6 linked regions of the Coturnix japonica genome follow. The protein of the gene in region 4 purifies or fractionates together with the protein of the main gene of each other region. This does not show direct contact. Links are inferred from orthologs where the notes say so. Each region holds a gene or a part of one and is shown on either strand. Other genes may lie near its edges. The genes, in order: RASSF3, MAP1S, RASSF6, STK3, SLMAP and MAP1B.

What was found.
Region 1: the proteins of STK3 (region 4) and RASSF3 purify together in Homo sapiens (affinity purification with mass spectrometry; 4 studies listed by BioGRID and IntAct, with this or other methods). This does not show direct contact. The link is inferred for Coturnix japonica from reciprocal best matches to the Homo sapiens genes STK3 and RASSF3.
Region 2: the proteins of STK3 (region 4) and MAP1S purify together in Homo sapiens (affinity purification with mass spectrometry; 3 studies listed by BioGRID and IntAct, with this or other methods). This does not show direct contact. The link is inferred for Coturnix japonica from reciprocal best matches to the Homo sapiens genes STK3 and MAP1S.
Region 3: the proteins of STK3 (region 4) and RASSF6 purify together in Homo sapiens (affinity purification with mass spectrometry; 4 studies listed by BioGRID and IntAct, counting the BioPlex papers as one, with this or other methods). This does not show direct contact. The link is inferred for Coturnix japonica from reciprocal best matches to the Homo sapiens genes STK3 and RASSF6.
Region 5: the proteins of STK3 (region 4) and SLMAP purify together in Homo sapiens (affinity purification with western blotting; 3 studies listed by BioGRID and IntAct, with this or other methods). This does not show direct contact. The link is inferred for Coturnix japonica from reciprocal best matches to the Homo sapiens genes STK3 and SLMAP.
Region 6: the proteins of STK3 (region 4) and MAP1B purify together in Homo sapiens (affinity purification with mass spectrometry; 4 studies listed by BioGRID and IntAct, with this or other methods). This does not show direct contact. The link is inferred for Coturnix japonica from reciprocal best matches to the Homo sapiens genes STK3 and MAP1B.

Annotation. Positions count from the first base shown.
Region 1 is NC_029516.1:30,674,021-30,678,816, reverse strand, and holds the end of RASSF3 (ras association domain-containing protein 3), read right to left. Parts: coding exon 4,790-4,796; intron 3,884-4,789; coding exon 3,768-3,883; intron 3,457-3,767; coding exon 3,307-3,456; 3' UTR 533-3,306; downstream 1-532.
Region 2 is NC_029543.1:2,348,731-2,354,283, forward strand, and holds the start of MAP1S (microtubule-associated protein 1S), read left to right. Parts: upstream 1-2,385; 5' UTR 2,386-2,432; coding exon 2,433-2,568; intron 2,569-3,806; coding exon 3,807-3,908; intron 3,909-4,787; coding exon 4,788-4,870; intron 4,871-4,957; coding exon 4,958-5,098; intron 5,099-5,406; coding exon 5,407-5,553. Other genes in the region: cocaine- and amphetamine-regulated transcript protein-like, read left to right, coding at 990-1,328, 1,566-1,685, 1,773-1,880. UniProt on the Homo sapiens protein: Microtubule-associated protein that mediates aggregation of mitochondria resulting in cell death and genomic destruction (MAGD). Plays a role in anchoring the microtubule organizing center to the centrosomes. Binds to DNA. Plays a role in apoptosis.
Region 3 is NC_029519.1:45,379,559-45,383,225, forward strand, and holds part of RASSF6 (ras association domain-containing protein 6), read right to left. Parts: intron 3,087-3,667; coding exon 3,035-3,086; intron 2,019-3,034; coding exon 1,900-2,018; intron 1,813-1,899; coding exon 1,715-1,812; intron 942-1,714; coding exon 866-941; 3' UTR 1-865.
Region 4 is NC_029517.1:115,653,430-115,658,225, forward strand, and holds part of STK3 (serine/threonine-protein kinase 3), read right to left. Parts: intron 1,803-4,796; coding exon 1,610-1,802; intron 1-1,609. UniProt on the Homo sapiens protein: Stress-activated, pro-apoptotic kinase which, following caspase-cleavage, enters the nucleus and induces chromatin condensation followed by internucleosomal DNA fragmentation.
Region 5 is NC_029527.1:6,474,223-6,479,018, reverse strand, and holds part of SLMAP (sarcolemmal membrane-associated protein), read right to left. Parts: intron 3,859-4,796; coding exon 3,796-3,858; intron 2,926-3,795; coding exon 2,830-2,925; intron 2,223-2,829; coding exon 2,151-2,222; intron 1,368-2,150; exon of another isoform or gene 1,358-1,367; coding exon 1,241-1,357; intron 132-1,240; coding exon 1-131. UniProt on the Homo sapiens protein: Associates with the striatin-interacting phosphatase and kinase (STRIPAK) core complex, forming the extended (SIKE1:SLMAP)STRIPAK complex.
Region 6 is NC_029547.1:23,152,632-23,158,209, forward strand, and holds the start of MAP1B (microtubule-associated protein 1B), read right to left. Parts: upstream 3,644-5,578; 5' UTR 3,541-3,643; coding exon 3,363-3,540; intron 1-3,362. UniProt on the Homo sapiens protein: Facilitates tyrosination of alpha-tubulin in neuronal microtubules. Phosphorylated MAP1B is required for proper microtubule dynamics and plays a role in the cytoskeletal changes that accompany neuronal differentiation and neurite extension.

The sequences.
Region 1 (4,796 bases), on a different chromosome or scaffold from region 4:
TGGTCAGGTGGCGATTTGTTTTTATTTCCCATTGTCACCAAACCTCTAACATTGTTACAATACATCCTGACGTAAAGCCAACCTGCGGAGCCAGAGCAGCTTCACCAGCTCTGTCCTTGTGAGCCTTTTCACCAACGCAGGCCCAACTCACACCCTGCAGCCTCCCCACACTCCCCTCTCCCACACACTAGGCCGGAGGTTCTTGGGCAGTCAGGAGCACAGCTGGATTTTCACCTTTTGGATTCACACCAAGGTCAAAGGAGAGCTGTTATTGTGCTTGCCCCCTAATAAAAGCACAGGAGGGACCAGAAGAGCATCACAGAGCATCACCATCCCACAAAGACACAGCCAGGCTTATGTACTTGTGTGGCACTCCTCACTCCCAGGGCACAGGTACCATCCTGACTACTCATGGAGAAGCAAGAAGGGAGTTCCCATAACCATGTGCCACAAGGAATCCTCATCCAGCACTCAAACCATCCCAACACAAACTCCAGGCAACACGAAAATAAAAACATACCACGTAGCGAAGTATTGCCAACTTCAACTTTAATGATGGAACCATCAATTGCCATTTCATCAATAACTTTTAGGGGAATAAAAACTTCCCTATAAAAATAAAACTAAGCTTGTCAAAATTATAAATAGTTTAATGCTTGTTTGTTTTTAAAGACATATATTTTAATGTTTCCCTGCATTCCCCTCCTCCCCCCCCCCCCCCCCAACCCCATCGTCTGATCATTCTGGTACCATCACATATAGAAATGAAAGCAGTTCTGCAACAGAAGCTTTGACAGTTTAATTTGACGCTAAAATTAAAAACAGAAAAGGTGGCCAGGGACGACCATGACTTTTCTTTAAATTAAAGCTGTTGTAATTGCCAGTGTGTAAAAAATAATAATAATAACAATAATAATAATTAACCCCACACACGACATCTTACAATAATTAACCATGGACTAAGACAGAGTTAAAATATAGTGAGCCGTTTGGGTTCTTTGCCCCTTTCTCCCCCCAATTCCAAACTCATAGTGCATCCAACACTGATTGAGGTTTTTTTGGCTAAAGTAAATGCAGATGTGCCCACTTAAAAGACCGATAGTTCAAGTAAAAACAAAATTCACATATTTTTATACTCCGCTTTTAGACTCAAACAGTGTTTAAATCTGAGCAACAAATGGTTCAACATCAACAGCGATTATGTAAAGGTTACATCGTTACGGGCAGGCATATAAATAAGTAGATGTTAACAGAATACCCACAGACATGCTGCTGCTTCATAGAAAAAACAAACCATAACAGAACAGAAAAGCATTCCCTGAACCATTATAAAGTGTCTCACTTGAGGATAATGTTACTAACTTGCACATGCACTACAATGTTACATGTGAAATTAAACAAACAAACAAGATATGCCTTATAGATACTTTATAGTTAGTCCTACTTTTAATTTCTCTTAGCGCTTTAAAACATTACGATTGTCAAATTCTTTTCATTTTTAACCAAAAAACACCTGCGAAGGGGTTTTGAAAAAGAAGCTTAAGGAAAGGAAACAAAGGCACAGTCATGTCAAACTGATGACCAGGAGCATGGCGGAGTTTCACACCGTATCCATTAGATGTCGCCAAACTTCTAACAACTCCTTGGGAGTTCAAAAGGAACATCCTTGGAGCGGAGGAAATAAAAACCCACCCAAATGAAAACAAAATAAAACACTGCACCAGCTGGAGCAGCCCCTCAGCCTACAGCACTTCCCCGCCTCACCTCCATCCTACAGAGCTCTGTTTCCTCTCTGGTGCGGTAATGACTGAAGTATGGGTTACCCGACCTGCCTCACGCCTCTATTGCACTCCCACTTCTTTGGTTTCTTTCCAGCATGCTTTTTAGATAAATAACTCTGAAAGAACCACAATTTTATTTACAATAAAGTAGAACGTTTTCTTGCTACATTTTTCCTACATTTAAATCAAGTAAATCAGCAGTGTAAGGAATTTGGTAATCAGGTTTCAATTAAGGATTTAAAAATGCTTTGAATTACTACCAGCAAGACTTGCTAAACTCGGTCACCAACACAGCCAATATAATTTAATTTTCTGTTATGTTGGAAACACAAATAAGAAATGGCTTCCTCTGCCTGACCGAGCCCCTTTAACAGACGAGGAAGCAGATGAATCTATTTTTGTCTTTCAGATAACACAAATCAAAACTATCCATCCTAAACATGGATTGCTGAGCCACAGGAAAGATCTGACTTCCAATAAAGAGCAAATGCAACCATAGTTACAGCTTGGATCCTAAACGCTCACTAGATGGGCACTTCTCACAGAGTTTTATCTTAGATAACATCCACATTCCATAATTCAAGTAAGCAGCCTCTTGTTTAGCTTTGCTGCACTTTCCAACGACACGTTTACAGAACCAGCTTCTCCAACTGTGACCTCTACGTGCAGCTCCACTTCCGTTCTTATTCAGCTTTTGCCTCTTTTTCCTTCCCAATATTTCAATCATCTTTATTTCTTTTCCAGTGTGGGTTTATGCAACTAAAAAGCCCTAAAACTTAAGTCACAATATTACAACATCCTAAAACTTTACTCTTATAGAATTAGTATTTTAACTTTCCTCTGTATAAATACTATTTCTATCTAAAAACAAGTCCTTCTCCATTGGTTATTACACCTTCCCTGCCTCCAACTCTAACCCTCTCTTCAACTTTCTCCTTACCTTCTCTGGGAAGACCAACTGAAAGCCTTCCACAACTCTCACAGAACAAAACACAAGGTCTCATTTGCCTTCCATCTATAACAGTTCTCTCACAAATTATACAGTAACTATTCAAAAACAGAAAGGTAGTGCAAATCAATTTCATTTCAAAGATAGTGCTCCAACTGATTATTTTCCAGATAGATTTATTCATTTTATTAAACTAATCAATTTGCACCTCCTTACTTGTAAAGCTACCATTTAAAGCAAAGAAGAAGAAAAAAAATAATCTTATTTTATAGCATCCTAGTAAATCGATTACAGTTTCACAGCTTGCACCAAGATTACTTGGAAAACTCTCTAGGCACACAGAGGGTTGCAAACTGATGTACAAACATGCAGAATCCCTTACGCATGTGGGTGCGAGATGCTAAGTGACCTGGCTTATGGAACTAAGTCTATAGCAAAATTCAGGTACCCCAGCATCACAAAACAGTCTTCTGAATAAAGAAAACTACTCTTTGCTGCTCTTTTGTACTTTGGGTTTGGCATGCTATACTGACGTTTGGTTGTGTGCATTTTTCCTGAGAGTGCTTTGGCCCCCTTTTAACCAGGTTTCCACACCCCACCAAGGGCTTCTTCAAGTTTGTCCCTGTAAGCTGCGTAACGCTTCTTTAAGATTTGCAGTTGCTCGTTTTCCTCTTTGTCCAGTATACGCAAGAAGTTCTGCAGTTCAGGAAGGCTGAAAGCTTCCCACTGTGAGGACAGAGAAAGAAAACAACAGATGAGATAACAGGAAATGCACAAAGCATTTATATATACGCAGCATCAGGAACCCTGCTCGTAAGTCTCACCAATCTGAAAATGTTCAGCTCTTTTATGCTGTCTTCTGTTCTGCAAGTAACAGCAGGCCAGTCTAACCACAGTCTAAACGCTTACAAAAAAACTCAATCAGGAGAAGAAAAAATGAAAGCTTCCCCCCCCCCAAAAAAACCCAGATCATTACATCAGCACAGACCAAACAGGATCCCTGAAGTTAAAGGACCAAAAAGCTGAGCATAACATACCATGACCTCTCCAGTCTCGTGCTCACGTAGAACAAAACTGAGCATGTCTGTCCTGGGGCCTGCCACCAAACGCAGGTAGAGGGGATGTTCTCGGTCGGACAGCTTGCATATATAAACTGGAGGAGAAGAAGTGACAGAAATTAACCATCTTTAATTACGATGTTTGACAGGTTTTGAATGATCAGTGCAAGCCAACGTTAGAGATTTTAACAGACCTGCACCTGTGGCCACAAATCTACACATTCTCCAACGTCATTCTGAACTAATGAGCTTTATGGACAGGCAGCAGAGCAGAGCTAAGCTCAAATATGAATGAAGCAGCTTCTAGTCAGCACAGGATCTGAATATATGCGGGGGCGGGAGGAGGAAATACAACACAGCTCTGTAGCTATAAATAAGTATTTAAAACATCACAGCTGTGCTATCATCATTCTGAGACTTTTTTTTTTTCCAGACAGCCAGAAACATCTGAGCTCCTGCAACCGCTGTCAATGTCTGCCTACAGAAGAAGGCAGATTCTTAAATGCACTAACACAATGCTGAAGATACCTTCTTCATCTTCTGGTATTTCCAAACACGACATACACCTAACTTTTTCATCAGATGGCGCAGAGAGCATCACGCACACCAAGTACCACATGCAAGCAGAATGTGCATACCCACAACGCTCATCAGCTGTCTGTCCAAGCAGGGACTGTGGGCATTGCTGACACAATGGTTTCTCTTTAAAACACTTCAATCTCACAGACCTGTAGTGCTGACGTTTAGGGCCTGACAGACCCCCTGCTCCAGCAGGGGAGATCCATGCAGTTGCTTTAGTGGGTTCTCCTGACTTCTGTGAAATATCCCCATATCACTTACTCTTACTGCACATGCTACTTTTCCACAGAAAAAAGATGAGAGTGACTAAGACTACCAACTCCCCCTATCTTTCTTTCTTTCTTCCACCTCGCTTGTTCCAAGTGCTCCTATAACACAGATCCCCACAAATCACTCTGTCACCCAAATGCCCCAACTCTAACCTTGGTC
Region 2 (5,553 bases), on a different chromosome or scaffold from region 4:
CGCGATATCCCCGCTCCCTTCAGCTCCACGATCGCTCTGAGCCGCCCCTCGCTCCGCCGCCTCCTTTTATACCCCGCCGTGGCGCGCCCCCGCCCCCCTCTCTTCCTATTGGCTGAACGCTGAATGGAAAAGCGCGGGGATTGGTGCGTGGCGCGAAAATCCCACGTGGGGCGCGCGTGGGAGCGGGGAAACCCCCGCCCCGAAACTACCCCCCCCCCCCCATTAATCACCCCCTCCCCCCATTCATCTCCCCCCCGTCCCCATTCATTTCCCCCCCCAGGTGCTGTTCGCAGCCATGCAATGATATGGGGACACGTTGTGATGCCGGGGGTCTCTCCGTGTTATTTAGGGGGGGGGATTTGGGGGTCGCCCACCCGCCCACTCTGCGCATTGAGCGCCCCCTGGTGGCCGGAGTTGTGTCAGTCCTCCAGCGCTGCCCGCCGGTAGGGGGCGCTCTACCCACAACTCGCTGCTTCCGCGATGCACGATGGGAAATGGAGGCGAAGCTCGCAGCCACTTCCGCTTTGAGGGCGGGGGAGAACTGCGTTACCCAGAATGCACCGCGTGACGAGGAGAGGGGGCGGGGCTTGGAGTCACGTGTAGAGCGGCCAGGCCGCGGCCTCGGCTTAAGCAGCGTGGGGCTGGGGGGGGGGGGGCTGTAATGTGGGACCCCTCCCCTTATTGAGCTTCAGATGGAGCCCCACACTCATAGGGGGGCATGGGGGGGCTTGGAGGGACCTGTCAGCTCAATACAGCCCTGATGTGGGGTAGGGATGGGGGGCTTTGAAGCCTTGGGGGGGGGCAAAGCAGTGCCCATTTGGGGGTCCTGAGGCTGCAGCCATTGGCATTAAGGAGGAGGAGGAGGAGGAGGGGGGGGGGTCGTTCCTGCCTCCTCCTGCCCCCCCGCCTCGAGGTGCAGCCCCCCCCCCATAGCTGTGTTTGCTCAATGAATTGGCCCCCGGGCTGCACACAGCGCTGACGTCCATCCTATGGCTCATCCACATCCCAAGGGATGGCACCGCAGGGATGTCTCCCCTCGCTCAGCACAGTGTTGGGTTATTGTTGGGGGGGGGGGGACACAGCCCATAGACAGACTATGGGGTGAGGAGGGAGACCCTGCCTGCGTCAGTGGGTGTTTGCCCACCACCCACGGGCTGTTGAGGGGGGGGATAAAGGCAGCTGAGCCCCGCATTGTTGGGGATGGACGTTGGAAGATGGGCACTGCGTGGCTCTGCCTGCTCTGTGCAGCCAGCGCCGGCCTCGTCCCGCTGGGCAATGGGGGGGAACGAGGGCTGTGGGCAGCCCCACATCGTCAGGAGCCAGAGCTGGTAGGGGGCTGAGGGCTGGGGGCTGAGGGCTGGGGGCTGGGGGGGGGTCCCTGCTGTATGTACCCCTCATTGGGGGGACGTTGGCAGGGTTTTAAGGACGGGGGGGTCCGTGGTGTTGGAACCTGGGTGGTTTTTGGAGCTTATCTCATAGCTTGGGTTAGAAAAGGGCCATCCACGTGGGAATGGGGTGTGGGGATGAGCAGCTTTCACCTCTTTGTTCTCTCTCTGCCCATTGAGCTCCTGCCCCGAGGGGTCGATGCCAGAGGTGCCGGCGTTGAGGCGCTGCAGGAGGTGCTGGAGAAACTGCGACACAGGGAGATGCCACCGAGCACCAAGAAACCGGGCAGGGTCCCCTCGGTAGGGCCGGGGGGGTCTTTGGGGGGGTCTTTGGGGGGGGGGGGGCACCCAGGCCTGTTGCTGATAGTGACAGCTCTTATCTCACAGTGCCACCTCGGGGAGCCCTGTGCTGTGCGGGTGGGGGCTCGATTTGGGAAGCGTTGTAGCTGCCCCCCCGGCACCGTGTGCAACCTGTACATCCTGCATTGCTCCTAAGGGATGAGGACAACAAGGATGCTGCCGTCTATTGGGATGCTGCCGTCTATTGGGATGCTGCCGTCTATTGGGATGCTGCTGGGTTCATGCTGTGTTGTGTGATATGGGGGGGGGGGGCTATGGGTCTCAGCCCCCTCCCCACGTTGAGATCTGCTTCTCTCCGTTGATCTCAGTGCCTTCACCGATCCCTGGGGGTCGCATTAAACCACTTGGACCCTCTGCTACCGCCTGGCTCTGCTATTTGGGGGTTCAGTGATGCCATTGCAGGCTCTAAACCGAGCTGTGGGGGGGTGGGAGCAATAGGGATGCAATGGGGCCGTACCCAGCGCTATGATACACTGCAGTCTATGGTCCCAGAGCCGGGCCCCACCCGACGGCCCCACCCCGCCATCGCCCTTTTAAGCCCACCCCTCCCTCCACCCTCTCTCCCTTCACACCTCGCCCTCCCATTGGCCAGCGGTGACGTCAGTGGGCGTGGCTCGCCGGAGCTGACGCCAAAAAGTAGGCGTGGCTTAAAGGGGGCGGGCAGCGCGGCTGCGGGGGGCGCCGAAGATGGCGACGGCGGTGGCGGCGGCGGCTCCTCCCGGTCCGACCGTGGGGCCGCGCCGCTTCTCGCTGCTGGCGATCGTGGGTGGCGGATGTCACCGGCCGGGGCTGCTGGCGGCCGCCCTGCAGCAGCTGGAGCGAGGTGAGCCGTATATTGCATCCTATTGCGGCCCCATCGACGGGGCCCGGCCACATCAAAAGGCCTGAGGGGGGGGGAGGGGGAGTAAGGGGGGGGTCGTTGGGGCGGGGTCGTCGTGGGATGTGGGGGGAGCTGTGGGCACCGCCCCCCTCCATATGGATGCTCGGGGGAGGACGCAGCGCCAGCATCAATCAGTGCCTGCCCACCCCCGCGGTCCGCCCCCGTTCTCTTATATCTCCTATGTTGCCCCCACCTCCCCCATCTCCCCCATCTGCCCCATCTGCCCCATATCCTGGTGGTCTGCCCCATATCTATGGGTCAGCCCCACATTATGGGTCAGCCCCATATCTATGGGTCAGCCCCATATCTATGGGTCCAGCCCCATATCCTTGTGGTCTGCCCCATATCCTTGTGGTCTGCCCCATATCCTTGTGGTCTGCCCCATATCCTTGTGATCAGCCCCATATCCTTGTGGTCTGCCCCATATCCCTGTGATCAGCCCCATATCCTGGTGATCAGCCCCATATCCTGGTGATCAGCCCCATAACCTGGTGATCTGCCCCATATCCTTGTGATCTGCCCCCCCTCTTTTAGTCCCAGCCATCTGCCCCCACCTCCCATCCCTGGGGGCTGCTTTGTGTAGGAAGAGATGCTGGGGGGGGGTCTTAGCTCCTCCCTCATTGCCAGCCCAGAGCTGTGATACCTCAATGCCGGAGCAGCCCAACGCTGGGGACACCCATGTGTCACTATGGGGGGGGACCAAAGCCAATGGGGAACCATTAGAGAACGGCTCCAGCAGCTCTTTGTGCAACCCCACACTGCGGCTCATTGCGCCATCAGCAGCCGTTAGTGATGGTGGTGGCAGCCCTTCCCCCCCCTTCTTCCTCTTCCAAAGACCCCCTGAGAGATGGAGCTGCTCTATAGGTCCAATTAGTTGGAGCTGCAATGGGTTGGAGGCTTCCCTTCCCTTCTATGGCAGCTCTCACCCCGTTAATCCCATTCATTAGCACCGCCTTTGAGGAGGTGCTGGGAAGGCTCTGCCGTAGCCTCAGGGTTTGGGTTTGGGGTTGTGAGTCACATCATGGCATACAGAGCACACACCAGCAGTGCCACCATCACACCCAAGTCCCCACTCTATCCCCATTGATTGCAGTGGGGAATAGAGAGGGTGAGGAGTGGGGACAGTGGGGTTCTGTCGCCTGCTGTGTGTATGGGGACAGCAGGCAATGCCCATCCTGCAGGTATCCGCTCCTGGGACATCGACCTGACCTCCTGCAACCTGGATGAGCAGCTGAAGCTCTTTGTCTCCCGTCACTCCGCCACCTTCTCCAGCATCGTTAAAGGTACCGAGGTGACACTTAGAGCTGGGGACAGCACAGCAATGGGGCTGAGTGCCACGGTCCTTACCTGACCCCATGGCAGTGATTAATTCATGCGTCTCCAGAGGAGATGGGATGAGATGGGATGGGATGAGATGGGATGGGATGAGATGGGATGGGATGGGATGAGATGAGATGGGATGAGATGGGATGGGATGAGATGGGATGGGATGAGATGGGATGAGATGGGATGAGATGCTCTTTGCTACACAAGCATTTCGCTGCTTCTGGAAGCTGGATTTGGGGAGGAGGTGCTGACAGCCATCACAGCCATAGAGGCCAACATGGTGGTGGTGGTGAAGGGGCTTTATGTGTCTGTACCTTTATCTCAGCCATCCCTGGCTGCTGTTTGGGGCTGAGCCCCGTGATTCCCACGTGGGAAGCTGCTTCCTACACCAACAGCCACATTCATTCCTCCCCTTGAGGGTGGATGCTGGTGGGATTGTGTGGTCACTGTGGTGCCGGCGTGTCTCATCCCATGTGTGTTTGCAGCTCACCACCCCTTGGTGGGGCTGGGGTACCCCATGTCCACATTGTGTTTGGCTCCTGGGGGGGTGGGTGTTTGCTTGAAGCCAATGGAGATCCTCTGGGGGACCCGGCTGCTCCCTTTCCTGCCCCCCCTCCTGCAGCAGGAAGGAGATGGGAAGTGCAGCAGATCCCCTGCTGTCCCGGCTGGCAGCTGTCCCTCTTCCGTAGGGGAAGTGAACAGGTTCTATCCCCATCCTGGGCATGTCTATGTCACCCCCTGACCCACACACAGCCTGGGGTGGGGGGTATAGGGGGGTTGTCCTTATGATCCTGCCACGTTTGGGGAGGGATGGGTGGCAGCTGCTGTCCCTGCAGGTCAGCGGACCCTGCATCACCGCGGTGATGTGCTGGAGACCCTGGTGCTGCTCAACCCCTCCGACAAGTCGCTGTGTGATGAGGTGAGTGGGAAGGGGGGGGGGGGATGTAAAAGGTGTGTGAGGGGGAACAGGGGGGCAGCATCCTCACGTGTCCTCACGCCCCTGCAGCTGCGCAACCTCATCACGGATGTGTCGCAGCACAAGCTGCTGGTGTTTGCTGGGCCCTGCGTGGAGGAGACGGGAGAGTTGATGCTGCAGACCGGCTGCTTCTCGCTGCGGGACTTCATCCAGATCTTCACTGACAAGGAGGTGAGGGGCCGGGCTGTAGGGGGGGGGCACTGTCTGCTCACGTCTGCGGTGTCTCGGCTGAGCGAGCGGAGCTGTCTGTGCTGTGGGCGCATCCCTCCCTCTGCAGCATGAGGCTGGTGGGAGGGTGGCTGCTTTCTGAATCCCAATAAAGGAGACTGGGGGACACAGTTATAGCTGGGAGTGAGGCAGGGCTGAGTGAAGGCCCAGAGATTGCGTGGTGTGTGTTGGGGAGGGAGCTGCCCTATACAGAGGGACCCTGGGTGCTGCCTGGTGTGAGCAGGGCCCTGCCTGAAGCTCTCCCCTCACAGGTTGGGGAGATCCTGAGCTCCGCAGACCCTTCAGCCAAAGCCAGGCTGACCATCAGCTGCCCTGACTTTGGGGAGTGGAAGGACTCGGGCTTGGACCATCACAACCTGCAGGACTTCATTGAGCTGCGCTACAACCCAGGCTGCATC
Region 3 (3,667 bases), on a different chromosome or scaffold from region 4:
GGATGCCAACCCCATGCTATAAGAGCTGTGATGTCAGCCTCTCACTAAACACTTCTCCTTTCCTTCTCCAAGAAGAAAACACAGGAAGTAATATGGAATAATCTGTCTCAATGAAAAAAGGCATGGGGTGCCTTCTAGCACTCAGTCAAGCAAATGCCATAATACTTAGTGGGAACTCTCTGGAGCTTAAAATGCATGTCAGAGATATCTTTGCTCATACTTTAAGAGCAGAGTAGCCATGAAGATGGTGAACTTCGATTTATACTTTTCAGACGTTGAGTTAAAGCTTAGACTAGTTAGGTACCTACCAATTGAAAACCACTGGGCTTTCAGGTCTCTCTTGTATAGGTGTTTTTGTAAGCTATGTGAAATGCCTAACTGCAATCTTAGATATGTAAATACCTTTTGCCACTTAACTCTACAGAAAAGCTTCCTCCTAACAAAATTTATCTTTTTTTTTTTTTTTTCTAATAGAAGAAAAGTCATATACATTCTTTTCTTATTTTTGGCACAACTAGCACACTGGTTATTGCAACATTTTGCCTATATACTAGACTCTTGGTAATGGTTTGGAATATAGAAGACTTTAAAGCCTAGTACTTTTCAGCACAGGATTTTTCCCAATCTGAAGTTTCAAGTTAGATTCAGACTTCGTTCTTTGGATGATATAGTCCATCTTCTTAGGTGGTCCCCAACTTGTATTCCAGAGCCATAGTGGAGCATATGCAGTTTCAGCTGCATAATTATCAAAAGAAGCACTTTGCACACCCTTGTGCTCTAAGTGCTCCCCAGTGATGGCACATTCAAGAAAACAGACTTTCCTTTGCCAAAGGCAGTGGGTGATAGTTGCAATATGCCATTCACATCAAACAGTAGTCTCTGTTTTTTTAGAAGTCCGATTTTGAAGGTGCTGGCATATCATACGCTTCTCTTTATGGTATCTGAGAGAGAGAGGGATAGAACAAGAGAGAGAGAAAGAATGTGTTTAATTACACAGAATCCTCTGGAAAACATTTTTAACCTGAATTTTAACATGTTAGTTGAATGGTTAAAAAATTTTGCAGTGAAAGTCATTCTGACAGAAAATGGCAATAGCTTGTATTTATTCTTTTCTTTCTGTTCCTGGCTGGTTTTGTTGAAAATGATTTGATGGACATTGGATAGCAGATTCACAGCTCGTCTAGATTTGCATTGGTTTTGACCTCATGGTTGAAGAGCCACTGGTGCGTTTCTAATCTATAGCTGTTGTGAATACTGAGCTACCATCAGAACCACTCATGCCATTCTTCAGAAATTAAGTTCTATAGGACATTCATCTGCACCTGGAGTTCAGCATCTATCTAAATTGAATGCAGTGACACTTATATAGTACCACAGTATTTACTGCATTTACACATTCCAGGGAAATACACAGCAGCAAGTAGAAACTGAAGTATCAGTTTAAGGCTGAGAAGACATCCAAAGTACAACAGAAGTGATCCTAGGGCTCCTGGTTTTATGGAAAACTCCAACCTCGTATAAGCAGTACTCTGGTATCTTCCACAGCAACAGCTCATTTAGGGCTGCAGGATACAGAAACAACTGTGATTCCCACAAAGTTCAGTGTGAGCAGTAAGCGCACACTGATACATTAATGCATCAATCTATTGAGCCAAACTATAACTGTAAGCATTCTCCCAGACCGAAAGTGATCCCCCCTAATTTCACTTCTTACTTTGCAATTGTCTGTTGAATCTCCTGTTCCTCTTCTTTGTTTAACCTGTGCAGAATTGATTCCAAAAAGGGAAGATGAAATTGAATATATTGAGCAACCTACCAAAAAAACAAAGAGAAATGCCCATTAGTGACTATATTAACTGGGAAGAATACTGTGAACTGTTAGAACGATTATATACATACATCGCTGCTGACCTCTTCCACATCCCTGTCCATGAGAAAAAACTTGACAGCCTTCTCTGATGGCCCCTGCAGGAGTCTGTGCAGTAAGGGAATGTCTCCACTTCTCAGCTGCTTCTTTTCTGCGATTTAAAAGCAATGTGCTGATATATAGAATACACAATAGCGCCTCTAAGTACTAGATGCAATTGGAAGTCTTGTTTCTTGGCAAAGTTTCTATCTTTGCCTGATGTGTTATTATTAAGGGTATAATAAGTCTCTAATGCATATTCTCAGGAAGATGCAACACCTACATTTGTACAATGATAGGCCAGTGTCTATCAAAACGCAAAATGAAGAAGCTGCAGTTTAGGTAATCAAGTACATGTTTAAGAGATTGGTTCCAGGCCTGACAGTGTGGCTGTAACTCACTGAAACAAAATTCGCTTTATAATTTTCAAACATCCTTTCAAATTCACATTTTGACATTTAAGGTACATTTTCCTCTGTTCTCCCATTCTCTCAACTATTATTCTTAACAATAAACAAACAAACAACAATCTTTTCAAGAAGAAATGGAATTGTAATACATTGTGAAAGTGGGCACTGGAAAATTGAATACTTCGAACTAGATATCTGGGGGATCCAAGACTGTCTTGAAATTGTGAAGTCCAAATGCAGTGGGTTTAGTTAGTCTGGTTTTCACCAAGTTAGCAGTTCAAAGCCACGCTGGGTATCTTCTAGCACTCTCTAAAACTCTTATATCCCTTTTTCAATTAAAATATTACATAACACTGCCAGATGGAAACTGGCATCCTAAGACTGTCATGTCTTAGGATGTCATCTAGAACAGAAGTTACAGCAGAAGAGTTTCTCAAGCAGATGTTATTTACTGGAAAAACTGAGGCTTGTTTAATGGAAGCAGCCATACTCACAGCACCCAAAGCACCCAGAACACAACTATTCAGGTTTTCCTCTCCATCAGAGAGGCTCACATATCTAAGGGGTCCCAGAAAAGCAGAAGTGCTGCTTTGTGCTTAGGCACTGTGTGCAAGGACAGATGCCTGTGATGAATCCTGTCACTCCAAGGTGAGCAGTCCCCCCACATACACAGAAGATAAACAGAAATGAAGCAACCCCACAGTGATATCTGGCTTACCTCCGGACACATGGATTATATAAAGTGCAAATTCATGGGGACTGTTTTCTATCTGTAAACACAAAACCAAAGAACTGTTCAGACTGATTTATATGTTTCTCAAGCATTTTATCAGCAGCAGATACGCTACATGCTTCTCAACTGTTAAATCAAAACCCGCAAACTAGGCCTTTGTCTATTGGGCGAGTTAGAAGACACTGAGTATGGATAAGATTTAAAGCTGTGCTGTCACTACCTTTGTCCTTCTACTCCACTGCCTTACGATTGCCAATGCTACCACGTTGTCTAAAGGAGCAACACACACCACCTTAGACCAAAAACAGATCTTCCCAGAGTTTCCTTTCAGCATCCCTAACTATTTCTTACAACTTTCTTTTCAGATGATAATTCGATTTTCCAAGAATATTATCCTTAAGACAGCAACCTGTGATCTCTCCTGATTCACTTACCTGCATCACCAGGTTCAGAGAAAAGGGTTCTTTTCTAAAAGTTATTTTTTCAGAACATGCTGCACAACTGTACAGAAATCAACTTCTTTTGGCTTTTAGAAATTCCAAGGGGAAAAAAACAACAAAAACAAACAGAACAGAGCACAGAGTGTCGTTTTTAACTGTGGCTTTCTGGATCTCTCTG
Region 4 (4,796 bases):
ATGAGTGACTACACTAATTAACCCCCAAGGTACAGAAAGGCAATCCCCCTTCTTAATAGGAATCACTACCAAAAGTGATTCAATTTGAAAATATGAACATGTTTTTGTTTTGTTTTTTTTAAGTTTTCAGCAATGTAAGAAACTAAAAGGATAAGAGATTGCAGTGCAAATGTAAGGGCATTTTTTCTTTAATTGGTTTGGCATACTAACGTACTATTCCCCCTCAGCACATAGAAAATGGCATGGATAGTTACCAAAACTTAAGTGATTTGAAAGGCTGCACAGAAACCACACAAGTCCCCTGGTCCACAATAATCCCATCATGGGAATTATTTTATTTGCTTATAATCTTTCCAAATATTCACCATCACTACTCACTTCCTTAACTTGCTGAAATGTGTTAGTCTAAGATCACTTGATCTACCCCTCCATTACCCTCACAGTTTAATAGGTAAAATACTGTGTCAGCATAAGAACAAATTAAAGCGCGCACTGTTTGCATGAGGTGAATCACCCTGCTCAAATTAAACACTAATCAACAAGTCGATTGCTTTATTGCTACAAACACTGAAGGAAAAAACAAGGCAACAACAACAACAAAATAACAAAGAGGGAAAAAAAGCAGAAGTGATCACATCTTCCTCTCCTCCCAATTTGCTGTACATTCAACAACAAGGAAAACGCACCTGATTTACACTTCCAAACAATCTTTTCAACCAAATTATAGCAGGTTTTTGCACACAAACAGAAATGCAATCTTGTTTGATATAAATCATAAAACGAATTTATTTAAACAGTTGCCTGGAGTTAAGCATTGAATTGTGCCTCATAGAATCAAGCACTAAAGCTACAGCATCACCTATAGATGCTGCCCTTTCAAATTAATGATTTAACTTAAAATCAGTGGGAAGTCTTCAGCCAAGTAACAAACAGATCAAATGTAAACACGTATGTTTGCTGTCTAACAAACACGTTATACACATCTCAGTCCAACTGACAAGTTCATCATTTGAAATCCTTTTCCCCCCCCCTTTGTTATATAATCTTTCACACCACTGAAGTTGATTTTGACTTCTTAATTTATTTCAATATGTTTTGGCCATTCCCTTAAATCATGCATTAGCAAATTAAATTTTAACAAATGCCCATGAATTTACAAAATAATTTTGCAGCAAGATCTGCAGTACTTACTGCTGAATCCACGGTGCGTTGCAATGAGTTTTCAGGAACACTAACACTGAAACAACACCTCCCCACACAACCGCACCATTTGAGTATAGCTCCTTGGAGCTGCTTCAAATGGATGCAGGACAGGAGGCAAAATGCAAGTGACAGGTAGTAGAAGGGAGAATTCACAGGAGGCTACTGTTTGAGTCCTCCAGAAAGACTCATCAAAATACTAAAGCCAAGTGTAGTACTTTGAATCTCCCACTATAGCTGCTCTTCTCCAATAAGGAACAAAGTGTGTTTATAGAAACAAACAGCCCTCTCCCTGACTTTTAACCACCGAACTTGACTTTTAAAGGACACTGATGGTAGACTATTCTCACAGAAGATGAGAAAACACAATGCATTATTAACAGAAAAGGAAAGTAAACAAAAAACATACTTTTCATGGTTCCATCTTCCTCTTCGTCATCGTCGCTATTTATTACCATGGTCCCCAGGTCTGACTCTAGCATGGTACTGTTGTGTTCAATCATTGTCTGAGCGCCTTCACTCATCGTGCTTGTGGCCCGCATGGTACTAGCACTCTCTGAATTGGTCTTCACCATGGTGTGCGAGTCCAGCTCATCTTCATCCTAAAAGAAACACTGGTCAGAATGCAGCAGAGCATTTCAGAAAACCAAGTTAAGATGCAATAATTTAGATGCTTATTCATTGTTTTTTAATCTCTTCACATGACCTAGCTATACTGCTAGACTAACAGGTTTAATACTACCAAAAGAATGTGAAAATAAAAGGCAACCTATAACGGTAAAAGAAAAAACTTCATCCTATGCCAGCTTTATAGCGCTATTGATTTACCAGAAACATGTCCCACACAATCACTTTTATACCCAGCTTTGAATATCTCACTGATCTTCTGGACTCGGTACACTTCTCCGGGACTAAAAATCAGTAACATGTTTTGTTTGGTTGTTTTGAAGCAGATCATCACACCAAGGCTATCACCCTTAACTAAATAATATGTTTTTTATCTAGTATCTTGACAACAACCTGTCTTGAGAGACCACCATGAAGAGGAGCAATCCCAAGCACAAATATAGGAGCAATCCCAAGGAGATGGATCTGGCAGTGATGGCTGATGGAAGATTTAACATGAGCTGTCAGTGTGTGCTTGCAGCCCAGAAGGCCAACCATATCCTGGGTTGCATCAAGAGAAGGGTGACCAGCAGGTCAACAGAGGTGATTCTGCCCCCCTGCTCTGCTCTTGTGAGACTCCACTTGGAGTACTGCATCCAGTTCTGGGGCACCCAACATGAGAGGAACATGGAGCTGTTGGAGCAGGTGCAGAGGAGGGCCATGAAGATGATCAGAGGCCTGGAGCACCTTGCCTAGGGAGACAGGCTGAGAGAGCTGGGGCTCTTCAGCCTGGAGAAGAGAAGGCTCTGGAGGGACATTATAGTGGCCTTCCAGCACTTGAAGGGGGCCTACAGGAAAGCTGGGGAGGGACCTATTAGAAGGCTATGTAGAGACAAGACAAGGAGAAATGGTTTTAAACAGGATGAGGGTAGAGTTTGACTAGATATTAAGAAGAAATTCTTTACTGTGAGGGTGGTGAGACTCTGGAACAGGTTGCTCAGTGAGGTGGTGAGTGCCCACTCTCTGGAAGCATTCAGGGCCAGGCTGGATGGGGCTGTGAGCAACCTGGTCTAGAGGGAGGTGTCCCTGCCTATAACAGGGTGTTGGAACTACATGATCTTAAGGGTCCATTCTAACCCATTCTGCGATTCTATGATTTTGAATCGATGTGCCAGGAATGTAAAACAGAGAAATAATGACCATCCAGTTAATGAATTATTAATTTTATATGGAATATCAATATTTGAAAATAGTGTTGGGAAATGCCATTCATTTTTGCAGTTTGATTTCAACCATGTGCACAACAGCACAGCACTTCATGAATGCATACAAGCATTTTCTACATGAGTACATTTTTAATGCTTCTCTCATTGACTAAACAAGAAATAATGCCCACCGCTGTCAAGACACTGTATGCCAAATTTCGAAATTTTACATGTAAATACTATGTTCACTGATTTTATAAGCTTCCCAATCCAACTGAAAACAGTCATGTATGTACACATTCTCTCTACTGTAAATGAACTTCAATTGCATCCTGATACAAAATATCTCTGGTTAGGAAAGTATGCTCATATCATAAAAATATCAGGTAACATTATTATGTGCCTATTACAAGTAACATGCCTGTTGTTACACAGAACATTAAAACAAGATTTTACCCGAAAACTAATTTTTCCTTTTGCTAAATATGCTTCATATTTTAACTACAGAACAACCTGTAAGGAGTGCAGAAAGAAAGAAACCCAGTTACCCAATTCTCCAGCTCTGGCCCTTTTTATTTCTCACTGAACTAGCTCTTTTCCCTTCCTGTTATTCCCTGACATGGCACACAACTTGCCTGTTGTACAAATGGAATTGCAAGGAGCAGCTACACTGTATGAGTGCCTGTTTCACAAATGGGTAGTCAAAGTAGGTATGGAGAACCATATTTAGTAAGAGTACCAATAGACCAGCTCCTACAACAAGTTCTGTTATGTCTTGGCCCAGAGACACAAAAACAGATCTCACTTGGATTCAGAATCTAGCTAACAACACAGTACGCTGAAACCAGGATACAGAGCAGATTTGAATAAACTGTCAAATACCAAAAGAATCATAGCTTCCCACATTATAATTTGTAAATATTTCAGAGTTCTTAAATTTCATTTCTAACCTGCACACTAAAACACTCTGTGTAGCACCATACCCTTAAAAACTCAAGATACTCCTAAAGACGGACAGTTTACAGATACAGCACCAGATGACTGTGTCTGTAAATAAATAGGAATATTTTAGTAGTGCTCCTCCTGGTGGCAACTTTGATTTTCCTCTTTTTTTTCTTTTTTTTTTTCCCCCCCAGTTCACACTTATCTCACTGCTTTCTATATTTTTCCCTTCCCAAATGGTTATTAGGAAGCCAAAGTATTTTCCTCTAATATTCTCTCTCTCTCTTTTTTTTGCATTGTATTTGAGAATTGTCTAAAGTATTTATTGATAAGTGTTTCTTTCAGTAATGCTGTACAATGGAAAACCAAGTGAGAACATACTGCTTTTTATCTTAATAAACAATAAAAATGAAGCATCTCCAATACAGAGAAGCAGTTGAGATTAAAACAGAGTTAACAGCTGATGTACATGTTTGCTTGACTAATATCCACACAGAAAAGTTGAAAGCAGAAAGGAAATACATTTTCCTGAAGCTTAAATTCTCTCTATATTTTTTTTTACAAGTGGGGAGAAAGAAAAAAAAAGAAGGTGGTGACCACCAATATGAACAAGTAAAAAGTGAATTAATAAGTGCCCATTTTAAGATCTTCTGGTTTATTAAAAATGCTGATTTTTTAAGTTCCTGAGCCAAATCGAGCATCTGGATTCTTTCAAGGAATAATATTTCATTTTCCAACCTAGAGTGACAAATGTCTTTGTTTTACTATTATCTTTCAGCATAGAGAACAGCTGTCACCCAGTACCTGGAAGACTGAGGATGACAAAAGCCAGCCTCAGTACCA
Region 5 (4,796 bases), on a different chromosome or scaffold from region 4:
TTGTCAGAAAGATCTTTAATTTCATTTACAGCTCCATTGTACTTATTGGCTAATTCTCTTAATTCTTCCTGAGTCCGCTCATTCATTTCTTTCAGGTGAGTACATTCATCTTCTGTATTACTTAAACTCCGCTGTAAGAGAAAATTTGTGTGGAGCAAATGCAAAACTTGAGACTAATAAGCCACCAAACATTCCAGCTGACCTACATTTCCCCTCAAAACAATATATGCAACTGATCATATTTGTTTTCAAACTGCTCGGCTCCTAATAATCAAGTCCAAACACAATAAAACAAGCACTGGCAAAAGCCTTTGTAATAGTCTACTTAATAGAACTTACATGAAGAAAGCTTCACGCATGTGAAAAAAAAGCAACACCACACCTCAAAGCCAAATTAGGCCATGAAAACAATTAAGACCAATGGGAATAAAGAACTGAAATGTGCAATTCATCTCCCTCATTCTCTTCTATGCCATTTCTAGATTTGTTTTCTGAACTCCACCATGTGTGCAAGCATCTCAGGTAAGATGCCCTTTACTCAAGAGGCAGCCAACTCTTCAGGAGACAAGGAATGCTCCAGTACAAGCTGGCATCAGCTGTGGCCAACAGCATAGCTAAATGGCATATAGAGTTTCCTCCTCATTACTCAAGATCTGTTTCTTCATTTGTATCACATTACAGACAGTAAACAAAAAAGTACTTGTATTTCTTGGTAACAAGCTTTAACTTAGTATTCTTTCCTCATCATCAAAACAGTCCAGTGCCACAATTTAACCAAAGCTGCATTTCACACTACCTTATTTAATAATTAAAGCACCAGTTCCAACCAGGACCCAATAATTTTTCTGCGTGAAGGGGAAAGGATGTGCTAGAGAGCATGCAAGGAAACCCCATACTGAGGTTAGATTAATATTTCTCCACCAAGAGTCAAATTGAAGAGGAAAAAGAATAATGGAGGAGTCAGAGAATTCTTTTCATTATTTTCACCCACACTTATTTCCCAAACATACTAAATATGTTAAGAAAGCTTAATATTTTTCAAGAGTGGGGGGAAAAAGGAAGTTTAAAGCCCCCATTAACAGTTTAAGCCTAAGATTAGCATCCAAGAAATAAACAGCTCTATTTAATATACTGTAAGTGCCACAATATGACAGACACTGGCCTGTCACAGGCAATAAACATGGATCTAATTAGCAGCATTTGCAAGTATTTCTGTATTTCCAGCAAACTAGTTCATTACCTCCACTTCAGACAGCTTTCTGACCACTTCTATTTTCTCCTGTAGGACCCGCCTCAGGGACTCTTTGGCTGTTGTCTCATAGTTGTGTTTATCTTCTTGTAATGCTATAAGCTCTTTCTGTTTGATTCTGGAAATGCAATTCGAATACAAAAAATGTAAGTTAATATTTTGTTGATTAAACATGTGAGATTGTGCTATAATCTGTTCTATTCCAAAATGTTCAGCATTTGCTGGTAGATGAGAAAACATTGCAGGTAAATCACTGAATAAGGATTCTTGACATGACTGGGTATAAACCACTTCCATGTACAACAGTGCACACCTGCAATTCTTTGATCATAGCAGAACTGTAATTTTTTGAGGCACAAAACAGAGTCAAGCCTAGGAGTCCTACTGTCAGACAAAGCCAAATGCTCTAAGGTCCCATCTGAGAGATCTCAGACAGGGCCTGCAAAAAATAAAATATCATCTAGGTAGTTGAGAGGAAGAAAAAAATAATTAAAGCATACATGGCCTGAATAACACACAAGTCAGAGAATTCTTTTTACTTTGCTTCTGAATGTCAGCATATGCACAATGCCTTTTTTCAAATCCATATTTGAAAAGAAAACAGGGCTGACAGATTGGTTGCTTCTCACAGATGACAAATTCCTTTCCAGTATATGAAAAGAAAAACCAGTTTGGGCTCAAAAAATGCTGATAGATAACCATTTATCTAAACTTAAAATGATTCCATGAAATACAGAACAGCCCTACAATTTTCAGCCTAATCAGGTTAAAACTGCACAGCACAGTCCCACATGAGGAAGTTTGTGTTCAAACTGCTTTCTTGAGTGTCTCATTTCAAAATACTTCAGAAGAGCTATCTTTCAGTATTCCAGTATGGAGTTGTACTAAATGAATTACCTACCTTTGAACATGCTTGTAACTGATTTCCCATAACCTCTAACCTTGATAGCAGCCTGTCTTCATCTATTAAAGCCTGGAAGAGAAGAAGTTTTACCTCATATTAGTATTAGTCATGGCAAAACAAATAAGCCATTTCAACAGAACACTGTATTTTAAGTAGATCCAGTGGACTTCTGCTTTAGAATTACATTACTGGAGTATTTATCACAGAAACGTAGAATGGCCTGGGTTGAAAAGGACCATAAAGATAATCTGTTTTCAACTCCCTGCCACAGGCAAGGTCCCACTAGCCCAGGCTGCCCAGAGCCACATCCAGGCTGGCCTTGAACGCCTCCAGGGATGGGGCATCCACAACCTCCTTGGGCAACCTGTTCCAGTGCGTCACCACCGTCTGAGTGAAAAACTTCCTAATATCTAACCTAAACCTCCTCATCTCAGTTTAAAACCATTACCCGTCCAATCAATAATCAGTTAATCGATTAAATAATCAATTAATATCATTTAAAGTTATCGAATCTGTACATTAAACTTATTAAACATTGTCTTCTACAGTTTGAGAACCACAAAATGCTTTTTACTCTTTTCTTTTGTTTGTTTTCCAGGTTATTTATAAAGCAATAGAAACAATTTATACTTTGCTCCTTTTTCAGCCTATAAAGGGAAAGGATGCTTTCTGGTACCTGCCAACTAGTATCTGAAGCCTCTTGTGTAACAGCAAGTAGTCGCTGAAGGGTTGCCAGCTTCTGTTCCAACATTTGTTCCCGATGTAAGGCTTCCTACAATGAGATCAAGAGAGCCAACTGGTCAGTTCTGCTGGTGCAACTCAAAACAGAAGCAATAGCAAAGATACCAAATAACACTGAATTTAAAGGAAAAAAAAAAGATTGTGAGCATATTCAAAACTTCAGTAAAACCATCCCATTTTATTCACCCACACTTTCATTTGGATATTTCCATTAGAAAATGTTGTCTTACAATGTCAGGTTCCCAAAAAGGTTAATCTGTTCAAGCATACACTGCACATGCAGAGCACACACAGTAAACAGTTCCAAGACTTTTCAGTAATATGCCCACTCTGAACTTTTGTCACTAATTTCAGCAATAAAATTGATGCACCGACCAGAAGGCAGATTTGGCAGCTTCTGTGCACTGAGCTGCTAGTCCCTAAATCGGGTCACAGGAAATAAATGCCATGCAAGAATTGCTATTTGTGTTTGAATTTATTTTGGGTCAGCAAGGAATTTTTAACAATTCCAGGATACAAGAGTGAACAGACTGGTAAATAGCTCTGAATTTGCCCTCTTACAAAAGGGCATCTACCTGAGTTGCTTCCTGCTACTTCAGCAAATGCATCCAAAATTAATAAGTCTCAAAACCCATATCGTTAACTGGAATACAAATTGCCGTTACCATTACACCTTATATGAAAGCCATAGTTCATACTGCTCATTAAGAACCCCAGAAGCTTACATGGAGCTATGTTAGGTTCAATTATAACACTTCCTATATTGTTTCACTACAGAATAAGGTAAAGTGCTTTGTTCCTGCTTACAAACGGGAAGACAAAAATATACATTTTTGGTTACTTTTTAATCAGTCAGAGATTAAATATTTAATCCAATTAATGCTGCCGTGAAAAAAATTACCTGTAGATACTGTGAAAGCTGAAACAATTCCTGAGAATACATACTGGGCGTGTTAGCAGCAACCTGAGAAATAAGAGAATTGATGAATCTAAACATTTCTGGATCTTTCATTAGACTCAGTTAAGGTAAGGTTCATAATTTAAATACAGTCAGGAAGGTAAATTTGTTATTGAACAAATGGAGCTTTCAATCATTTTGCATCTACTGTCATTTTAATTCAGGTTAACACAGAACTTCACCACTCATAGCACTCATGGCCACACCATGCTGTTGTCTTCACAAGCTTTTGAATCAAAGTACCAAACAGCTTCACCTCAGCTCAAACAAAAGACAATCTGACAAAAGCAATAAGGTGCACAAAGGTGAAGCCATGCAATCCTGGGACAAGTAGAAATCGGGCTGTCCAGAAATGACAACTTTCTCATATTCCAATTCAACATGCCTTGTTCCCCGCTCCTACCTCTCAAGATTTCATCACACATTTTCTGCTGACCTAACTCCATCTCCTTCACAATTCCCTTTGCCCCTTATTTCACAGCTGGGGACTACCTGCATTACCTTAATGTATAATAATGTTCTTGCTGTGTTTCTGCACCATCACTTCACTTGATTTTAATACAAATTCAATTGAAGAAAATTACGCTATTCAGTGCCTCACCTCAGCCAGGCTTAAGAACGTCTGTTGTTTTACCAAGTCTTACTTTAACTCCACATTTCTCCTGGTGCCAGAAACCATTCTGCAGTTCAGGCTAAGGAGGTGGGGTGGTTCATTATTGCTGTTACCTACACTGATACCACTGAGAAACCATTTCCCACACAAGTACAGTACAATCCCCTGCAGAACTTCTGCCCTCACCATGCACTCACACTACGTACACTGCTTGAAGCCCTGGCTTAATGCAAGTGCCACGAGACTGATGACTTCGTAAAGAAGCTCCCTTAGTTTCCAAACATTTTGGTTTTTGCATTGAAAATGTTGATTCATTTGAACTTTAGTCAAT
Region 6 (5,578 bases), on a different chromosome or scaffold from region 4:
AAGGATGAGGAGGAGAAAGAGCAGAGAAACCAGATCTGCTCTGCTGGTCTCCCATTGCAGCTCCGAGGAGGTACTCCATGCAAATACAGACATCTGCATTTCAAGAGCTTTTTCAGAGAGAATTCACTGAGCACTTGTTCCTTGTCAGCAGTCCAGTCAAGGTGTAAGCATGTTTGTCTCTGGGATATCCTCCCAGTTAGCGAGATGGAATACTAAGCTCTAAAGAGAACTGAAAACACAGTATCATCTATGTTTCACTACCACTCTGAAGTAAAATAACAGAACTATCATCAATCACCTCCGCTTCCTGACTTGTACATCATCGTTTAGAGGAATAAGTGGTGACTCTTCTGCAAGTCTCCTTTTTTTTTTTTCTTTCTCAAAAATCTCTTGGCCATATGGTGCATTTTCAGGGCGTAGTTTTGGCACGCACACACAGCTCAGCAAGCTTTAATATCTTCCAGGTGTTGGAACATTTGAGAGCAAGAAAGTAAACATGATATATTGCCACACATGTACAGCACAGATGAAATATATGAGTAGTGAACTGATGCTGATCATGAAGTTGGAGCACACTGGGTGTTGAACTTGAAGAAGCAAGAAGACAGCAGCTTGCTGGCCTCCAACAGCAAACCTGCGTGGGAAGGCTGCAAAGCTTTCTGGAGGTCAGTTAAGCAATATGGACTATGATTCAGCACTGCTGCTAATGACAGAGCCTGCCCACCATCCCAAACCATTTTTGTTGTGAATCCAGATTAGCAGTGGGTTATGATTCTGATTAGGCATAGTCATACCACTGAGCCCATCAGTATCCAAAATGCAGTACTTAGGGCAAAACAACTACAAAGAATAGCCTAGGCATGCTATCCACACAGCAGCTGAGGATGAGATTTGGTAAAATAGGCCAGATTTGCAGATGCATGATTCAGCATTTTGGATGCAAAACCTATACAAACACCTTAAAATGTAGTATAAATGTATCAAGTAAATTATACAACCAAATCAAGTTTGGATGCAATGGAAGTAAATCTGGAACAAAAATCCAAGGTCAATCCAATGATGTGTATTATTATCAGGATGGAAGAAACTACTGTGAGGATGACTGAGCTGTAGCTATTTCCTTCCTTCTGCAGTCTCTGGAGCATAGCGCCACTAGACACAGGGCTAATCAGACAGCAGACAGGGCACACCCAGCAGCATCTGCCAAATCGGTGGAAAGATCCTGAAGCTTTCTCCTTACTCCCCTCTTCTTCTCTACTGGATGGTGGGCTGGAGGACTGCCCCCTCAGCAGAATGACATCCCAAATGTAATTACTGAAAATGCAGCTTGCCAAGCAATTCCCACTTCATGATATATTAAGAAATGACTCTGCATTCCACCAGGTTACGTAGCATCACGCCACTGATGTCCTATCAGGAGATGTTTTTTGCTGGCATATTGCTCTGCAGTTCAGTGCGTGAATCCACACTTTTCTCTGGTGGTACTTAGGAGATGCACCAGAGAAGACCTTGAGGCAGAGTTATCAAGAACCCTAAAACCACTTAAGGCTCTACTGAGGACAAAGGCTGAAAGAAGCCAGTTTTTCCCTACTGCACTTTCCAAAGGGAAAGATTAGTCAAGCCCTCAAATAGACAGAGCTACAGACTCAGAGTGTACTGATCCAGAACAATGCACCCCAAAATCTGATTTTTTTCCTAGCAGGCAAGATCCCTGTCAAATCACCTGACATCAGGAAGAATGAGGTGACTTTTCAACCAAAATGATGAATAAAAACACTAAGGTATTTCCCTTGAATATCTAAAACTGTAAGCAGGTGTTAAGCTTGTTGGCTGGAGGTAGCAGCAACAGAGCTATGCAGCAGCAGCTTCACAATAGAAGCTTCAAGAAGCGACTGAAGAACATTTCTTCTGAGGAAGGATGACATCAGATGCCTTTACAGAAGTTTTTTTCCATTTGCTCTATAAATTGCATCAATTTAATTGAAATTCAGCCAATTCACTTCAACACAATCAACAATTAGTTAAAACGAGAGAGGGAGAGAGGCGCAATGCTGAAGAGGCTCTGAATGACAAAGCATCTGCATCAGTAGTCCTCCCTAGGAGACAATGGTTGAGATAAAGATCAACGGGTCACGGTGAAGCTGGTAAGCCGGAATGAGGCAGATCTTTGCTGTGAACAGCCAAGAAAAAGAACCATGAGAAATCGCCAACTGCAGCAGAAAGGGTTGAGAACACAACAATAGAGACAAGCGAAGTCCTAGCTGGAGTGCTGAACCACACCTACATTCAAGGCTGGTATCAAATCCCTTGCAGGCTCCCTCTCTCCTTTCACACAATAGCGTATTTCTGATTTTTGCACTTTCATCAGCCCAGAACAAGGTATACACTAAAAAAAAACCAAAAATCACATCTTAGGCTAGTTTAGCAAACTATGAGGTCCCCCAATAATTTCCTTTGTGCTTCATACCACACTTACAGCAACAGGGCTTTTCACCTCTCTATGCACACCGCAATCTCCTTTATTAGAAACCGCATCAAGAACTTACAGAACTCGGACATTTCACATGTGGTACCTTCACCCAAAGCCACCTTAAGGAAAGGGCAAACGAGCAGCGAGCCGCCGCAGCCCGGGATGGACAATAACGGGGCTGGGCACTCAGACTGCAGCCTCGTTACCAGCATCTTTTTTATTTCTTTCAACACAGGGGTGGGTGTGTGCCATGCTTGGGTCCCGAAGGATTCTGCATCGCGCTGCCGAAACTTGGGCACAATGCGCAGGGATGGAGCCGCAGCCCTGCGGTCGCTGGGAAAACGCCCCACTGCCGCCGGGGTCTGCGGCGCTGCGACGGAGACGGCGATGGGGACAGGGATGGGGATGGTGACGGGGATGGGGATGGGCTGCAGCCCCCACCCAGCCCCTTTCCCGGCGGCGCTGGAGCAGGCGCCCTTTGTCCGCTCCGGGCTGCCATAGGGACCGCAGTGCGGTCTGTGCCACGCCCACCCGCCGGTGTCTCCGGGCAGACGGGCTGGGCGTCCGCCGCAGCCCCGACAATGGCGCGGGGCGGGAGCGCGGGGCAGGGGCTGCGGGCGCGGGGACCACGCGGGGGGCCCCGGGGTGCGGGCGGGGCCGGGCGGGACCCGCAGTTAAAGAAAGAGAAGCGCCGGGGCTCGGAGCTGGGCTCGGCGCTCCCCCGCCCCGCAGGGGGTGCAGCGGGCGCGGCTGCAGCAGCACGGAGCCCCCCGTCGGGGCGCCTTGGGCAGCGGGCGGGGAGCGGCCGCCGAGCGGCTGCCGGGGCCGTGCGGGTCGCAGGGGGAGCCGCGCACCGTGCGCTCCGCGCGATCCGCCGCCGCCACCATCTCACCTCGTTCAATGTTGGTGATGGCGCGGCGCAGGTGCTCCTCTGTCACCAGCTCGCCGATGACCACCAGCAGGTAGAACTTGCTGTCCAGGAAGCGATGCGACAGGCTGGGCGAGGGAGCGGCAGGGTTCGGGAGGCTGCAGGAGGGCTCCGAGTCCGCTTCCACTACCACGGTGGCCATCGCACCCCCCGCTCCGCCCCGCGGCTCCGGGGCGCTGAGGGGAGAAAGAAGGGCCGCTCGGCGGCGGCTCCGCAGGCGGCAGGGAGTGAGGGCGGGCGGGGAGGCGGCCGCGCTTTTATACGGAGACGGGGCAGGGCAGGGACCTGCCGAGGAGGAGGAGGAGGAAGGGGGGGAGCCGGCGCATCCCCGCCGCCGCTTTTCCAGCATCCACGGCTGATGTCATCTGCAGCAAATCCTCCCCGCGGCGGCCCCCGGAAGCAGGAAGGACGCGGGGTGCGAACAACGCCCGAGGGTCGCCGGCGGACCCCAACGCCCCGCGGTCTCGCATCCCGCAGCCCTCGGTGGCCGAGGCCCCTGCGGAGCTCCGGCTGCGCCCAACCGGGCGGGATGCGGCTCCGGGACCCGGCCTTCTGCATCGCCCTGCGGTGCTGCAGCGCAGCTCGATAACCCTTACGGCTAGCAATCGCAGTGGTATTCTTACAGTTTGCTTGATGCTTCAAACGTAGGGCTCCTGCATGCCTTCAGTGTGCATGGATTTGTGACTCACCCCAAGGGTTATGGATAGGGTGCTTCCAGCAGTGGACAAGCATTGAGAAACCGTAATGCTAAGGCCTTGGAATTTCAAAGGGCTTCAGGTGGCTCCTTTTTACCAGCAGCTCCAGTGGAGCTGGAAAACACCTTCCATCACAAAAGCAAAGGGCGGGTTCCTGAGTAAAACCATGCCAGAGCCAGATGTCTGCTCTCCCATGTTCATCAAAACCCCCTTAAAAGGTAAATTCAGTTACCACCTAGCAGTGTTTTATCCTCCCCTAAAACTGGATGGAGTACTCTGGGATAAACCAGCCTCCTGGAGATGTTCTCACTTCACAGAAGCCAGGCAGTAGTTTACACTAAGCATCATTTGTGTGGCTGAAGTGATGCAGGACCTGGGAGAAGATATAAATGTTGATAGCCTGGTTTACAAGACAAGTTCTGATTGCTGGCTGAGGAGATGTCAACATGCAGGTCCTTGCAGCACTCATTGCTCTAGTGGCCTGGTGTGCCCTGGTTACACAGTCCTTGCCTGGAGGAAGTGATACCCCAGGTCTGCTTTCTTAGAGTAAGCACTTTGGTTTGGGGCACAGTGCAGTCATTCTAATCGACATGCACTTGTCATTTAATTGACAATCCCAGAACGTCTCTGCCCACATCTTGGACTGAAACTCTGTTGCTCCAGGTGCTGGTCCATAGCATCATCTCTACCCACTGCACCTAGAAGCTTTAGAATGAGTAATTCTTCTGCTTGCACTGAGCTCCTTGGTTAGTACAGCATTATGTGGTTGGAGGTTGCATCCCAGAGAGGCTTTTGTTGCACTGCCATACATTGAGGGCTGCAGGCACTTTTACAGCCCCATCAGGTGGCTGCGATGACATGGTAGCAAGAGCAGCACTCTTCCAGTGCTTGAAAGGAGCATTTAGACAGGAGGGGGGTTGCCTTTTTACAAGGATGGGTAGTGATAGGACAAGGGGCAATGGTTTTAAACTAAGACAGGGGAGGTTTAGGTTAGAGATTGGGAGGAAGTTTTTCACACAGAGGGTGGTGATGCACTGGAACAGGTTGCCCAGGGAAGTTGTGGGTTCCCCATCCCTAGAGGCATTCAAGGCCAGGCTGGATGAGGCTCTGGGCAGCCTGGTCTGGCAGTTGGTGGCCCTGCATATGGTGGGGGGGGGAGGTTGAAACTAGATGATCATTATGGTCCTTTTCAACCCAGGGCATTCCATGATTCTGTGTGTGAAAAATACATGTAGAAACACATAGTAAAAAGGCTCAATTGTATTGAATCAAAGAAGAAAATGCTGACAAATGGGTAGGTGATACAGTTATACCTGAAATAGCCTGTTGAGATAGTCCTCTGTTCTATGGGAATATTATGCTGTAAAGAACGTGCAGTAAGCACGTTGTGTGACAACAGGTGAAGAGTTGCAGCCAGCCCCTCTGGTGATGGGGATGTTTCACATACTAAACTCTGAACACCAGGGGCTGCCTTTGGGAGAAAAT